Sus scrofa: one gene and its partners. The protein of the gene in region 3 purifies or fractionates together with the protein of the main gene of each other region. This does not show direct contact. Links are inferred from orthologs where the notes say so. Each region holds a gene or a part of one and is shown on either strand. Other genes may lie near its edges.

The links. The genes of interacting proteins can lie anywhere in the genome.
Region 1: the proteins of ETAA1 (region 3) and ATR purify together in Homo sapiens (affinity purification with western blotting; 3 studies listed by BioGRID, with this or other methods). This does not show direct contact. The link is inferred for Sus scrofa from reciprocal best matches to the Homo sapiens genes ETAA1 and ATR.
Region 2: the proteins of ETAA1 (region 3) and RPA2 purify together in Homo sapiens (affinity purification with western blotting; 4 studies listed by BioGRID, with this or other methods). This does not show direct contact. The link is inferred for Sus scrofa from reciprocal best matches to the Homo sapiens genes ETAA1 and RPA2.

The regions. Positions count from the first base shown.
Region 1 is NC_010455.5:83,286,780-83,291,346, forward strand, and holds the start of ATR (serine/threonine-protein kinase ATR), read right to left. Parts: upstream 3,208-4,567; 5' UTR 3,053-3,207; coding exon 2,994-3,052; intron 1-2,993. UniProt on the Homo sapiens protein: Serine/threonine protein kinase which activates checkpoint signaling upon genotoxic stresses such as ionizing radiation (IR), ultraviolet light (UV), or DNA replication stalling, thereby acting as a DNA damage sensor.
Region 2 is NC_010448.4:85,042,693-85,047,295, forward strand, and holds the start of RPA2 (replication protein A 32 kDa subunit), read right to left. Parts: upstream 3,208-4,603; 5' UTR 3,101-3,207; coding exon 3,091-3,100; intron 2,847-3,090; coding exon 2,740-2,846; intron 893-2,739; coding exon 791-892; intron 662-790; coding exon 548-661; intron 1-547. UniProt on the Homo sapiens protein: As part of the heterotrimeric replication protein A complex (RPA/RP-A), binds and stabilizes single-stranded DNA intermediates that form during DNA replication or upon DNA stress.
Region 3 is NC_010445.4:74,733,589-74,738,256, forward strand, and holds the start of ETAA1 (ewing's tumor-associated antigen 1), read right to left. Parts: upstream 3,196-4,668; 5' UTR 3,056-3,195; coding exon 2,755-3,055; intron 1,693-2,754; exon of another isoform or gene 1,687-1,692; coding exon 1,558-1,686; intron 1,286-1,557; coding exon 1,209-1,285; exon of another isoform or gene 1-1,208. UniProt on the Homo sapiens protein: Replication stress response protein that accumulates at DNA damage sites and promotes replication fork progression and integrity.

The DNA.
Region 1 (4,567 bases), on a different chromosome or scaffold from region 3:
CATGAGACTAGACAGAGTTACTGAGGAGGAGAGTTGTAGTGCAGTGGAAACTAATCCAACTAGTATCCATGAGGATGCAGGTTTGATCCCTGGCTTTGCTCAGTGGGTCCAGGAACCTGTGTTGCCGTGAGCTGTAGTGTAGGTCGCATATGCAGTACAGATCCTGCGTTGCTGTGGCTAAGGCGCAGGCCAGCAGCTGTAGCTTCGATTTGACCCCTAGCCTGGAACCTCCATATGCCATGGATGTGGTCTTAAAACGCAAAATAAATAAATAAATAAGGAAAGAGGACAATCGATGTAGCCTGAAAGCACATATGGAGCCAAGAATGACTCCTAGATTTCTAGTTTAGAAAAACGAGTGAACATGGTATCATTTACTGAGATATCTCCCTACTTCAGTGAACGAGAGGTATTTAAACAAAACAAAACTTTGGGAGGTTAGAACATACAGAGAATTTGTATTGGATATATTGAGTCTTAAATGCATGTAGGACACCCAGGGAACAACTAATGGGGTTATCAGAACAACTGCAGTATGTGGTTGGATATAGTTTTGTAGGAAATAGATATGGGAGACATGCATTTAGAGTCATCAAATAGCAGATGGTAGTTGACAGCAGGAAAATAGATGAGATCAAACAGAAAGACTATAGAGAAAAGAGTGCTAATAGGAGTTCCCGTTGTGGCCCAGCAGGTTAAGAACACAACATATTGTCTATGAGAATGCAGGTTCAATCCCTGGCCTCATGCAGTGGGTTAAGGATCTGGTGTAACTGCAAGCTGCAACATAAGTTACAGATGCCGCTTAGATCCAGTGTTGCTGCAGCTGTGGTGCAGGCCTGGGAACTTCCATGTCCCACAGTGCAATCATGAAAAAAAAAAAAAAAAAAAAAAAAAGGGAGTGCTAACAGCAGAAAACATTGGAACAAAACTTATCCCTGAGAGACAGAGGAAAAGGAGGCCATACATTTAAACAGTAACATCTTACTTTTTTCAGAAATCTAATTGCCACGGTCACTTAAGAAAAAGAAAAAAAAATTAAGGAGAAAAAGACTTGATGGCTTGAATTTGAAATCTAGCTCTAATAATTGCTATCCTTTTGACTTTGTGACTCTGTTTCTTAATAAACAGTGATAATATTTGGTCCATTCTATATCATGGAGATACTATGTGAATGAATAAGCTGCAATGAAAAAGTCATGACAATTAAAAACTACTATTAGGTAATTCTCCATGGGTAAGTGTTTTTGCTTTTGTTTTTGTTTTTGTCTTTTTTGTCTTTTTTAGGGCCACACCCACAGCATATGGAGGTTCCCAGCCTAGGGGTCTAATCAGAGCTGTAGCTGCCAGCCTACACCACAGCCACAGCAACGCCAGATCTGAGCTGCATCTGCGACCTTCACCACAGCTCACGGCAATGCCGGATCCTTAACCCATTAGGCGAGGCCAGGGATTGAACCTCATGGTTCCTAGTCGGATTCATTTCTTCTGCACCAGGACAGGAACTCCTAAGTTTTTTTTTTTATTATTCCTTCTCTTAAAATGGCTACAAATGAATCAAAGGTAACATAAGCTCTGTTGATGAAAGAGACTATAAATAAATCCAAGATAGTATTATTTTTATCAACAAGTATCATACTGGAAGAGAGAAAAGGGAAGAGAAGTATTAATCAGCAAATTCTATATTAAAGCAGGGGGAAGGGGGAAACACCCTGAGCTTTACATGGAGCCTGAAAGATGAAATAGGTACATCAACTTCCTGTGTGAACACCTGCCTTCATCTTCTTAAGAAAGGTAAATGTTACTTTACAAAATGTTTACCCAAGTATGATTGCAACACTCATGCCAAGGGGGAAAAAATCATACACACAAAAAGAGGATGATTCAGTTAAGACAAGCATGGTGCTGTTATTTATAACCTCTTATGTATGTAACTGAGGAAGACTAAATGTCAGTGTCTTGGTATGGCTAACAAGTGGAGAGGGACACAACTGCACTGCACAAAGAAAGGAAATTAAATATCCCATGGGCTTAAAATCAGTTGTGGCTGTGTGCTAAGTTTTCAAACAATTTAAGAAATTGGAAAGCAACTATTCCAATTGACAGTTCAAATGCAGTAGTGGTACAAGCCCACTTTTCTATTCACAGTAGGTTACCAAAAAAAAAAAAAAAAAAATTGAACAAACACCCTGCCTAGGCCTGGTTGAGGAAAGGTTGTAGGTGTGTTGAAGGACAGCAGACATCAACATCTCTCCCTTCTGTTGCGGCAGGAAACTGGTTTACATGATTCTATTCTCAGGTTTACAGGGGAAAAAAAAAAAAAAAGCTATGCAAATGGAACATTAAATTATCTTCAAATTTTGGCTTCATTCTTGCACATTTATATTTTGCAGACGTTGTGGTCGATTCCTGGGATTTCTGATTGAACTAACGAATTGGGGACTGGATGATCAACATGAAAAGGGTCCCATCTCCAGAATGGCCTATGGTTTCACTTCTAAGAAAGACACAAACTGCTTTTTCGAGCAACTGGCCTTCCTTGCATAAAATCTGAACAAATGACTTTTCATCCGAGGGCAGTTTGGGGTCAAAACATAGAAGACAACAGAAACTGAGACAAATCCACAGGTCAAGTACTCCATCAAGGAAAGAGGCTTTTGAGAAGCAAAGCAGTGAGTGTAGGGAAGTGATCAGAAAGTTACCATCCGGCGGGACCCTTCTTTCCCGCCGCAGAGGCAATCCCCTGGGGGTGCTGGTGGGGGAGGAGCTTCAGGGCGCCGCTGAGGTAAAGTGGGACCTGCAGACGGCCCTCCCCTCGGACCCGCATCTGGCGGGTCTGCGGCGAAGCCCCCAGTCCTTTTAACCGCCTCTCTGTAGGAGAAGCGCTCTAATCAGCCACGGAGTGTCTCCACAAGGGCCCGGGTTGAGGGGATCGGAACTAGGACGCGCGCGGCTGGGGAGGGAGAGCACGTGAGATGCCGGCCTGGCCCTACCTGCCCAGCTCCCGCAGGGCCGGGATCATAGACGCCAACTCCAGACCATGCTCGCCCATGCTGAGGACGTGCACCACCGGTCAACTACACCCAGGCGGGCTCCTGGCGTCTCCACAGCCACCTCCGATGAGAAAGCGCGGCGCCCGACGGTGCCTCGCGGGGCCCAAAACTCCTCCCGGAAGCCGTGCGGGCCCGCTCGCCAGGTCCTAGTTCTTTTCTGCGTAGGACCCGGGGGAGGCCGGGAGGCCGAAGTGGGTGGGGAGAGTGGGCGGGGCAAGGGACGCGGCGCGGCGGAGGGTCAAGTTTCCCCAGTTGGGTTCGCTCTGAGATAGGCAGCTTGGTAAGTGGCCAGGCAAAAATCGTGAGAGTTTTGGTTTTTAGTTGCTCTGCTCTGTCACTCCCAAGCTTGGGAGGCTCAGAGAACCCAGACCCCGGGTCCTGGGAGGAAAGGGGCGTGGCGGGCACTAGCCCAGAATCCCTCTCATGACAAATGTGAAAAATGAGACAATTCAGCATCTAGAGCCCCAAGATCAGATCCAGGTCTCCCCAAAGACGCCCCCAGGTTCTTCATTTTCTTACTGTTCTCTTGACGGGTGTCTGAGAGGTATGGCGCAAAAGGTGGGCTCCTCCTTGTCCCAGCGGATATTTTTTCCCCTCAAATTGAAGTCTGCATTAGGTTTCCTTGAGGATACTCTCAAGTTTTTTCCTTTCTTTTCTTTTTTTTTTTTTTTTTTTTTTTTTGGTATGGCCGCAACCGCGACAGACGGAAGTCCCCTAACCAGGGGTCAGATCCGAACGCAGCTGCAGCATCGTTGGATCCTTTAACCCTCTGTGGCAGGCTGGTGACTGAACTCTCGCCTCCATAGTGACCGGAGCTACTGCATTCGGATTCTCAACCCATTGTGCCACAGCGGGAACTTATCAACCTTTAATATTTAAGAAGAGGGTTAAATTGTGTTTATTTGTGGCTCATCAAGTGAGCGACAGTATTGTGTGTATTTATGTCACCTTTACCTTTGGCGTCTATTACCTGTGATTTAATTTTTAAGTAAATCAGTGGATTTTGGCTGTAGACATTTTGTAGCTCAACCTAGTTTTTTTTATACGAAAAATGGTCATCATAAGAGGCTGTTAACATGTCAAAGTTATGTTTAATCAGGCAAGGCCAGGCAGTGTATTTACCTTTGTTCCCTAACACAGGAGAATAATTGTTACACAGTATCTTAAGAAAAAAAAAAAAAAAGGAGGGAGTTTCTGTTGTGGCTCAGGGGTAGCAAACCCTGCTAGTGTCCATGAGCACCCAGTGGGTTAAGAATCCCTGGCTTCACTCAGTGGGTTAAGAATCCCGTGTTGGCGCAAGCTGAGGTGTAGATGGCATACGCCTCTTGGATCTGACCTAGCTGTGGTGGAGGCCAGCAGCATATGGAGGTCTGACTTGACCCCTAGGCTGGGAACCTCCATATGCCCTGGATGTGGCCCTAAAAAGACAAAAAAAAAAAAAAAAAGAAGCGGAGTGACAGCCAAATAGGCTCCTGTCTCAGGGATTTCGCGTTTGCTAAACCCTCTGCCTTGAC
Region 2 (4,603 bases), on a different chromosome or scaffold from region 3:
TACTGATCTAGGGGCTGGGTGTACAGTGCCAACATAAAAACCCTTATTCTCTGAGTCTGTGTTTTAGTGTGTCCTGTCACTTGCCCTTTGTTTATTCTATTTTGGGAAGTTTAAAACATTTAAAATTTTTATGAAATCAAATGTATTAGCCTTTCATTTTAGGGTTTCTGCCTTTGATATCTTGTTTATGTTTTATTTTTATGAGGACCACTGTTAAAAAGTGAGACTAGGAGTTCTTGTTGTGGTGTAGCCAAAACAAATCCGACTAGGAACCAGGAGGTTGCAGGTTCGATCCCTGGCCTTGCTCAGTGGGTTAAGGATCTGGCGTTGCTGTGAGCTGTGGTGTAGGTTGCAGATGCAGCTCAGATCCTGTGTTGCTGTGGCTGTGGCTGGCAGCTGTACCTCTGGTTGGACCCCTAGCCTGGGAACCTCCATATGCTGTGGGTATGGCCCTGAAAAGCAAAAAAAAAAAAAAGTGATACTAAAAAAGTTCAACATCTCCAAAGTCCCAAAGTAACCCCACCCTGATTCAAACACAACTGCTTACATCTGTGTCAACCCACTGGCGGACATCCATGGGTGCAGCTGTCATGTCATCTATTTTGTAAACAATGTTGGTTGCAGCCTTCTCTGCATGTCTGATTATCCCCACAATAGTCACCTAGACAAGAAGAAAAATAAGTTTGGTTTTCTTAGAAACCAAAGCAACATGAATCTATTTTTAAATGAAGTAAGTTTTATTTCATTCTTCATATGATTGAGTGACTCTTCCACAAATTATTTTACATACCTGTGAAATCTCAACATTCCCAATTTTGAACACTTCATCAACCAGAGTAGCAGAAAGCAGCTGAGATATGGTACAGGGTACAATGTGCTGAGCTCGGGCTCTCTGAAAAAAGTATGCATAAATTCAATTAAGAAAATAATAACTACTGTCCCTTAACACCTCCTATATGCCCAGCACTTTACGGATATTGTAACACTAATCTTCAAAAGAAACCTCATTGTCCCTACTTCACAGAGAAGAAAACCAAGGTTATATAGTTAACCAACGCCATATTCTAAATTTCAAAACCACGTCTGTCTGACTCCAAAGCTCCTGATGACTGGATAAGTTTGTGCTATACTAGGGATCACCAAAATGAGTCAGCCAGAGTGTGGACAGCAAAGGAACATGACCTGCTTCTGGAAGAGACTTTGAAAAGGCAACTCCAGCTTTAGGATGAAGGCAAGCTTGAGCTGGCTTTTCATCACTGATGAGAAGAGATAGTATTTGGAAGGAATTTGGGAAATGGCCAGCAAAGACAGAACTCTGAAGCTCTTCTAAGTTAAAGTATAACAAAAAGTTGGAGGTATATAGCTTTAGGTAGATGTTCTGACAATCCCATGTGAGTATGAGGAAAATGGGATAAGGGCCTGGCCACACGGGACATCTTAAAGGAAAGGGACAGGATGTGACGGGCAGAAGAGGACACCTAAATCACACCCAGAAGCAGCCTAACCATGTATACTCTTATGTTTGTCTCCCACTGGCCAGGGTTTGTTTGGGGGAAATAAAGATGAGTAAAATGGAACAGGATTTGCCCTCAACACATGCTACAAATGTAAATAACAAGCCTGATCTTGAAACACTATAGAATGTGGGATCTTGGAAAAATTTATTGGCAATTTCAAGAAGAGGGAGCATTTAGGCTGGACCCTGAAGCACGAAAATTTTGACAGTGAAAAAATAGTGAGTGAAGAATGTGCATTACAGGAGTTCCCGTTATGGCTCAGTGGTTAATGAATCTGACTAGCATCCATGAGGACGCAGGTTCAATCTCTGGCCTTGCTCAGTGGGCTAACTGCTGAAGCATACTTTTGAACGGTGAATATTGCCAGGATGGTAGAAAGTAAGCCCAGTCAACTACCAGCACACATGTCACAAAAGGTGGCAGCCAGCTGGTGGGCTGAGATTATGGCTCGACCACTCAGGAGCAGTGTGCTCTTGATCACATTTCTTTTTTTCCTTTCTGTTTTTTTTTTTGCTCTGCTTTTTAGGGCCGTACCCACGGCATATGGAGGTTCCCAGGCTAGGGGTCAAGTCGGAGCTATAGCCGATGGCCTACACCACAGCTCACAGCAACATCAGATCCTTAACCCACTGAGCGAGGCCAGGGATCGAACCTGCATCCTCATGGATCCTAGTCGGATTCATTTCTGCAGCGCCAGAATGGGAACTACCCCTGGGGCCATTTATTGAAAGCAACTCTGGGGCAGGCATAACTATATGTAATGTTATTAATCTCACAACAACCTTGTAAGATATGTATCATTAATCCCATTTAGTGGGTGCAAAACTGATTCCCAGTTTTGTAATTGTCCAATGATACCCTGCAAGCAGTGTCAGAGCAATAGTGGAACATAGATCTACTAGACTCCAAAGACCAGGCTCTTTCCACCTTATCAGATGACCTCATTACATTTCATTTAAAAATGACTTCCAGTATGTGAAGAATGTAAAATAGGCTACACATACAAGTTCGGTTTTTCCCACAAGACTAATTCATTAGTTATATTGGTAACTTTCAAAATAAAGCCAAGGAAACAATGTATGCAAAATTAGGAGACGTTTGATTTTTCAAACTTACAAGCACGTCCAGTTTACCACCCTTCCTTCCCCGCCTAAATTTTCTCACAGATGCGTTAGGAGCTTCAGCAGAGGTTAAAATAAAAAGAAATGCGCTTGCAACCTACAGATTTCTTTTCAGCCTGGGAAGGTGTCGGTGATCCAAAGCCCCCAGGGGACTGTGTGTAGCCGCCGGCTCCCCCAAAGGAGGAGCTGCTATAGCTTTCAAATCCACCTGGTTTTAAACAACAGCAGTATTAATACTTGTGCCACCCTCCAAGCCTCTGAAAAATCCGCAAGTCCCCCCAGACTTCACCCCAACCACTCCCAGAGTCTCCCTAACCTTCCCACCATCTTCCCTACGACCCGCACGCCCCCATCACCGGCCCTCGCCCGCCCCCTGCCGCCACACGCCTCCCCGGGCCCTCCCTTGCTAAATCCTTCTTGCGATTCTCATCAGGCGCCCCACTCATCATTACTATTCCACATCTTGGTCACTATTCCCTCAGTGTAGAGCTCCAGAAGGCTCCGGTCCGGTGGGTTAGCCGAACCCCCTCAGGACTCCGCTGTTGCAGCTGCGCTGTATCTACTTTTCGCTGGAGCCACAAACTCCTTCCCGCGAAGGACGGAGCCAATCAGAGTCCAGAGCGTTTCTCCCCTCAGCCAATCAATGCTTAAGAATCCCACGCCTTTTCCCGCCTTCCCGCGCCGAGCTCCGGAGAATGCGCACTTCGCTCCGGGAAGATCCGAAGCCTCTGCAGCCATCGTTACTTAGGGCAAAATAGGCTGCGGCTGCGGAAGGGAGACCTGAGAGATGCAAAGATAGGCCAGTGTCTCAAGAAAATAACCAATCAAGGAGTTCACTTGTGGCCCAGCAGGTTAAGGATCCGGAGATGGCTTGAGTCGGATCCCTCACCCGAGATGCTGTGGGCGGTTGCCCAAAAAGTAAAAGATGAGAACCAATCTGGATGATACTTCCACATCTCAGGCCGTTTAATCCCACCCCCGGCAACTGACTGACACTTTACATCACTTCCTTTGTTCCGTGTCTTGTTTCGTCCAAAACCTTACCAATCGAGTGATGCCTCCTAAAGCGTTATAGTAGTAGGACTTGCCATTAGCACAATATATACACATACGGGGAGCTCAATGTAGTAATTTCATTGCACCTCGTGGGGTTGCGTATTCTTTTCCATAAAGAGCCAGGTTCAGTTCTGGTATTGCCATCCCGTCGTCCTGATTCTCCGCAGAGAAGCTGTGAGAAGCCTACAGTCTTTTTCCCAGAATGGCAAAAGATCTGAGGATGACATCCCCCCAACCTTTCTGTCCCCACCCCAGTCTAGTCCGGATCCGTATCCTCGGTTGCTTCAACTATTCTTCATGTAATACGGTTGTGTCCCTCTTACGTTTTTCTTTTCTTTTTTGTGGTCTTTTGTCCTTTTAGGGCCGCACCCGCGGCATGTGGAGGTTCCCAGGCTAGGGGGTCTAATCAGAGCGTCTGCAGCCTACACCACAGCTCACAGCAACGCCTGATCCTTAACCCACTGAGCAAGGCCAGGGATCGAACCCACAACCTCATGGCTCCTAGTCGGATTTATTTCTGCTGCTCCAGGACGGGAACTCCGTGTCCCTCCTATGGAGAGTGGAACATGTCTGTCAGTTCTTTGCTCTAAATACTACTACACTGTTAGGAACAGATCCTCATTTATAATTTAAAAATATTTATTGATATCTCTTGTTCCAAGCTTTGTGCTGGCCACTGGGATTCAGTGGCAAATAACGAAGACATGGTCCCTGGGTTTCTGGGCCATTGCATTTCCTTTTGCTAAAACTGCAGACACTTTCTTCTCTCTCTCTCTGTCTTTTTTTTTTTTTTTTTTGTCTTTTGTCTTTTTAGGGCCGCACCTGTGGCATATGGATGTTCCCAGGCTAAAGGTCCAATCGGAGCTGTGGCTGCTGGCCTACACACCACAGCCACGGCAATGCCAGATC
Region 3 (4,668 bases):
ACTGTGCTAGCTGTAAATTTAGGTATTTTATTGCCACTAAGAAAAACTTTATTTCCTGTCTCCTCCACCTGGATGATGGTGATCCCTGTAACCACAGTTTGGACCCATGCCATCTATTGTTTATGATCAACATATAGCCACTATCCACAGGCATGTCAAGGAAAATGCCAGACTTCCTATGGAGAAGATCCTACACAAAAACTGGATGTTTTCTGGCTTTAAATGTTGCTAAATAAGAAAAAAGAGAAAGGAAAGAGGTTCAGAAAAGAGGCTGATCTAAACTTGTTATTTCAGTTTCACTCAAGCATTATAAGAGCCAAAATAAAGAAGAAATATTTGAAAATTGTTCTATTATGGCAAATAATTTAAATACCACAATTAACTTTAACATAACCTAACATCTGTAGTGCTCTATAGTTTTTAAATAATTTTTATCTAACTCAATCCTCATAATTCAAGAAAGAGAACAAGACAAGTATAATTTTAGTTTATGGCTGAATGAACTAAAACTGAGAGATTTAAGTGACTTGCTTAGAGTCACCCAATATAGGAGGCATGCTGAGAACCAACTCCAAATCCAGTGTTTTTTTCATTTTTATGTTTGCCTCTTGATGATGCTGTAAGTCAACAAGTATTAAGAAAAGCAATTTCAATGGGGAAACAGTGTATTATAGACAGTTTAAAAAAATACCAACTGTAAAAAAAAAAAAAAAAACTTAGAAGTTTAAATTTGTTGTCTGATTCTATTATTTTAGTAAATTGAAAAATGATACCATATGTTGTTAAGCAACACTAGAAACAAACTAAACAAAGCTCTAGTTAAAAATCATCACTCTAACCAAGTAAGATATACACTTAGGAAAATACATACTACCAATTTTACATTTTGTTCCTTTTTTCAAAAATGCATTTCAGTGGTAGAAAAAAGTAATCTTTGCTGCTCTGTTTTTGGAAACAAGAGTCAAATAAGACAAACATTTTTCACATAAATGAATTACTGAAAAAACTTAGTGGCACATTTTTCATTACATTTTGTTCCTTTTTTCAAAAATGCATTTCAGTGGTAGAAAAAAGTAATCTTTGCTGCTCTGTTTTTGGAAACAAGAGTCAAATAAGACAAACATTTTTCACATAAATGAATTATTGAAAAAACTTAGTGGCACATTTTTCATTATTTTAAAATAAACTGTAAAATCACTGCTATTTACCTGAGGAGCAATACGATTAACAATATGGGAAATCTCATCACTATCTGTGGTGTAAATCTGTTTTTTTCTTCCTTTACCTAAAGAAACAAAGACATTTCTATAAATTATTTAAAAATCTAATTTTTAAAAATAGAGGTCATTTCTTAGAAAATAATTTTAATGAGCATGGCTTAAATCACTACTCACTCTGACATCACATGCATATTGTAACAACATGATCATTCAAGATTCTCATAAAACATCTGCTATATAAAAGTTCCCAATGTTATTACCTGACTGAAATTCTGTAGTTAAATCCTAACCACTGATCAAATATTCACCCAGAAAAAAAATGTTAATAACAAATTACCTAACTGTTTTGTCATTGGAGAATTCTGATCCCAAAAGATATCATTCAGTCCATCTGGATCATTAGGAGAACTGAAGGTAGATGACAATAAATCCACTTGCAGCATTCTCTTAGGTGTTTCATACATTTCTACAGAAGAGCAGAACAACTGTTGCATTTTAAAGCATTATTTTACTGCATAACACCCAATGTTAAATAATAGCTTACACTCAATAACTTATTGTCCAATTTAAAATTTTCTCCCAGAAATATTACCCTAACCACAATTGATATTATTTGTTTCACATAAAAATCCCTGTAATTCACAAATTTAACTGTAAATAGCAAATATTTTAAGATAATCTAGTAGCTCTATACATGGACAATACTGGATAACCTGTATTACCACTGGAACTTGGAGGCTAGGGGAACTACCTGCAACTTACAGATACAACTCAAAAATCAAAAGCATTCCAACAGACACTTTAGTGAAAGTATATGTGTAGCCTCCTTTCACCAACTCTATCTAACTTACACTGATTATGTCAAAAAGCTTTGGTGATCCATTTCTTGGGAAGTTTTGTCTAGTATCACTTTTTTTTGTTTACTCTGCAATTACTTTGTCAAAGTAAACTAAAAACAAAAAGGTAACAGAGGCTGTGCTTTAAGACCACGCTCTAGAAAAGAGCTTTTATATGAGTTTCAGTTCTTCCCAGGATTAGAAATCTTTAAAAAATGTAACACCAAAAATGGTTCACAATGAAATATTCAGGGGCCCTTAGTTTCCTACTTTGAGGGACCTTATACAAAGGAACTTCCGGTTTATTCCTAACGATGTGATACATCACCAAGGCTTTGAGGATACAGACAGCTATAGCTTTCCTAAGGCCCCTTCTGTAAATCAAGTCAGGGCAAAATGTTTAGAGGGAAATAATTTCTCTAGGAATACGCTGAAGGCAACAGGTATTATTTCCCCTCTCTCAGCCACTGCTGATGCCTGAAGGAGCAGCCTAGCAATTAGCCTTCCTCCCTCCAACAGGTAAACCCCCACGATCTATTCCTGTGGCAGGGGCAACACGTGGGCTGTACAACCTAACCAGGCAGTGCTCAAACTGGGGGACCAAAGCCGTGGGGGAGTGGTGTTGGGTTAATTTGGGACTCACGCGGGAGAAACCCAGAGAAAGAAAACACGAGGTCAGACTCCACCCCCACCCCTACCCGGCGTTTCCCTGTTAGGAACGGGGTTGTGAAGCTGAGTCGCAGAGGCACTGAGAGGCCGCGCTGCCCACGTCTCACCCTCGGGGTTACTTTTACTGCACGAAGCGGCTGCTGGAGGTTGCTCTTGCTGCGGCAGAGGCCGGGTAGGCCTCTCTCTAGCCCCGCGGGGCCCCGAGCCGTGGGCCGACCTCAGCCGCCTCTTCCCCGGCTCGACCACCGAGCTGCATTCCTCAGTTGCCGTCGCTTTGCGCGGCGTGTTCTTCAGGCCAGGACTGTCCCCATGTTTTCTTCGCCGACTCATTGCCTAGGACCCCCTCTGCTAGCCGCGTCTCCTTTCACATTTTACAATGGGAGGAGTAAGGCAATGGAACTACAAGCGGGACTCTGCGCCAATGGCCGCCGCCATTTTGGCTGTTGAGACGCTCGCAAGGGGCGGGCGCTGATTGGCTGCGTCCGGCGAGGGGCGGGGCGTCCAGGGTGCCGAAGGCGCGATGCAGAAGGCGCGCTTCCGCAGCCCACCTCCGAGCCGGCTCTGCTCTGCCCCGACCGGTCTGGGTAGGAAGTAGTTGTTAAGAGGTAGTGCTTTGGCTCTGTGGGGCTGAGAGGGGGAGCATGTGAGGTGGAAAGAAGTTTGAATCCACTGGTATCTTTTTATTGAATTTACAGTTGGAATTACACATTACTCGGATTTATGTTATTGTGAGTTGTAGTTTTTTCAAGAAGAGGAAATGAAAGGTATAGTTTAGGAAGGAAGGCATAAAACTGGCAGATGATATGTGCATAGAAAAATCAAAAATGGAAGTTATTAAATTAATAAACAGAGTTGCTGATACAAAGTCATATTCAAAGATCAATTGTATTTCAATAGATTAGTAGCAAATATAACACTGACGTTTTGAAGAAATGATTTGTAATAGCATACAAGAGATCAATTAACTATGAATAAATTTAACTAGATTGCAATATCCATGCAGAGAGAATTATGAAATATTTTCAAAGGAATTGAAAACCTAAATAAATGGAGAATTATACTGTGTTCATAGGTTGCAGGTTTCAATATTGTTAGGATGTCAGTTCTTCACAAAATGATCTATAGATTCAAAGCAAATCCAAAGTCATAGTAGAGATGTGTGTGTGTGTTATTTTAAAATGGACATGGAAATGGGAAGGGCTGAAAATGACCAAGAAACTCTTAAAGATCTCCTGAAGAGCACTGAAGATGGGTTTCTACCAGATGGTTAAGACAGTGTGGTAATGGTGAAAGGATAGGTAAAAGAAGCAGAATAAATAGCTTAGAAACAGACAACGACATAAATGTACAGTTGATTTAGGACAAAGATGACCTTTCTGAACAGTGGGCAAAGGACTTTTTTTTTTTTTTTTGTCTTTTTGCCTTTTCTAGGGTCGCTCCTGTGGCATATGGAGGTTCTCAGGCTGGGGGTCCAATCAGAGCTGCCGGCCTACGCCAGAGCCACAGCAACGCGGAATCCGCGCTGCGTCTGCAACCTACACCACAGCTCACGGCAACGCAGGATTCCCAACCCACTGAGAAAGGCCAGTGATCAAACCTTCAACCTCATGGTTCCTAGTCAGATTCGTTAACCACTGTGCCACAACGGGAGCTCCATGAGCAGTGGGCAAAGGACTTTTTGATAATAAATTGTGCTTAGTCAATTTGATATACACGTGGAAAAAGAAGTTTAATCTCTGCCTGAAAACATATCCTTAAATTGAGTGCAAATTGATTGTATATTGAATTGTAAAAGATAAAATAACATTTTATAAGGTGATATCAATTGTTTTATTACAGAGAATGAGTTTTAAATGGAACAAAAAAGTCACCAACTATAAAGAAAATAATTACGAACTTGGCTACATTAATTGATAACTTGAGAAATTCTGTCTATCCAAAGA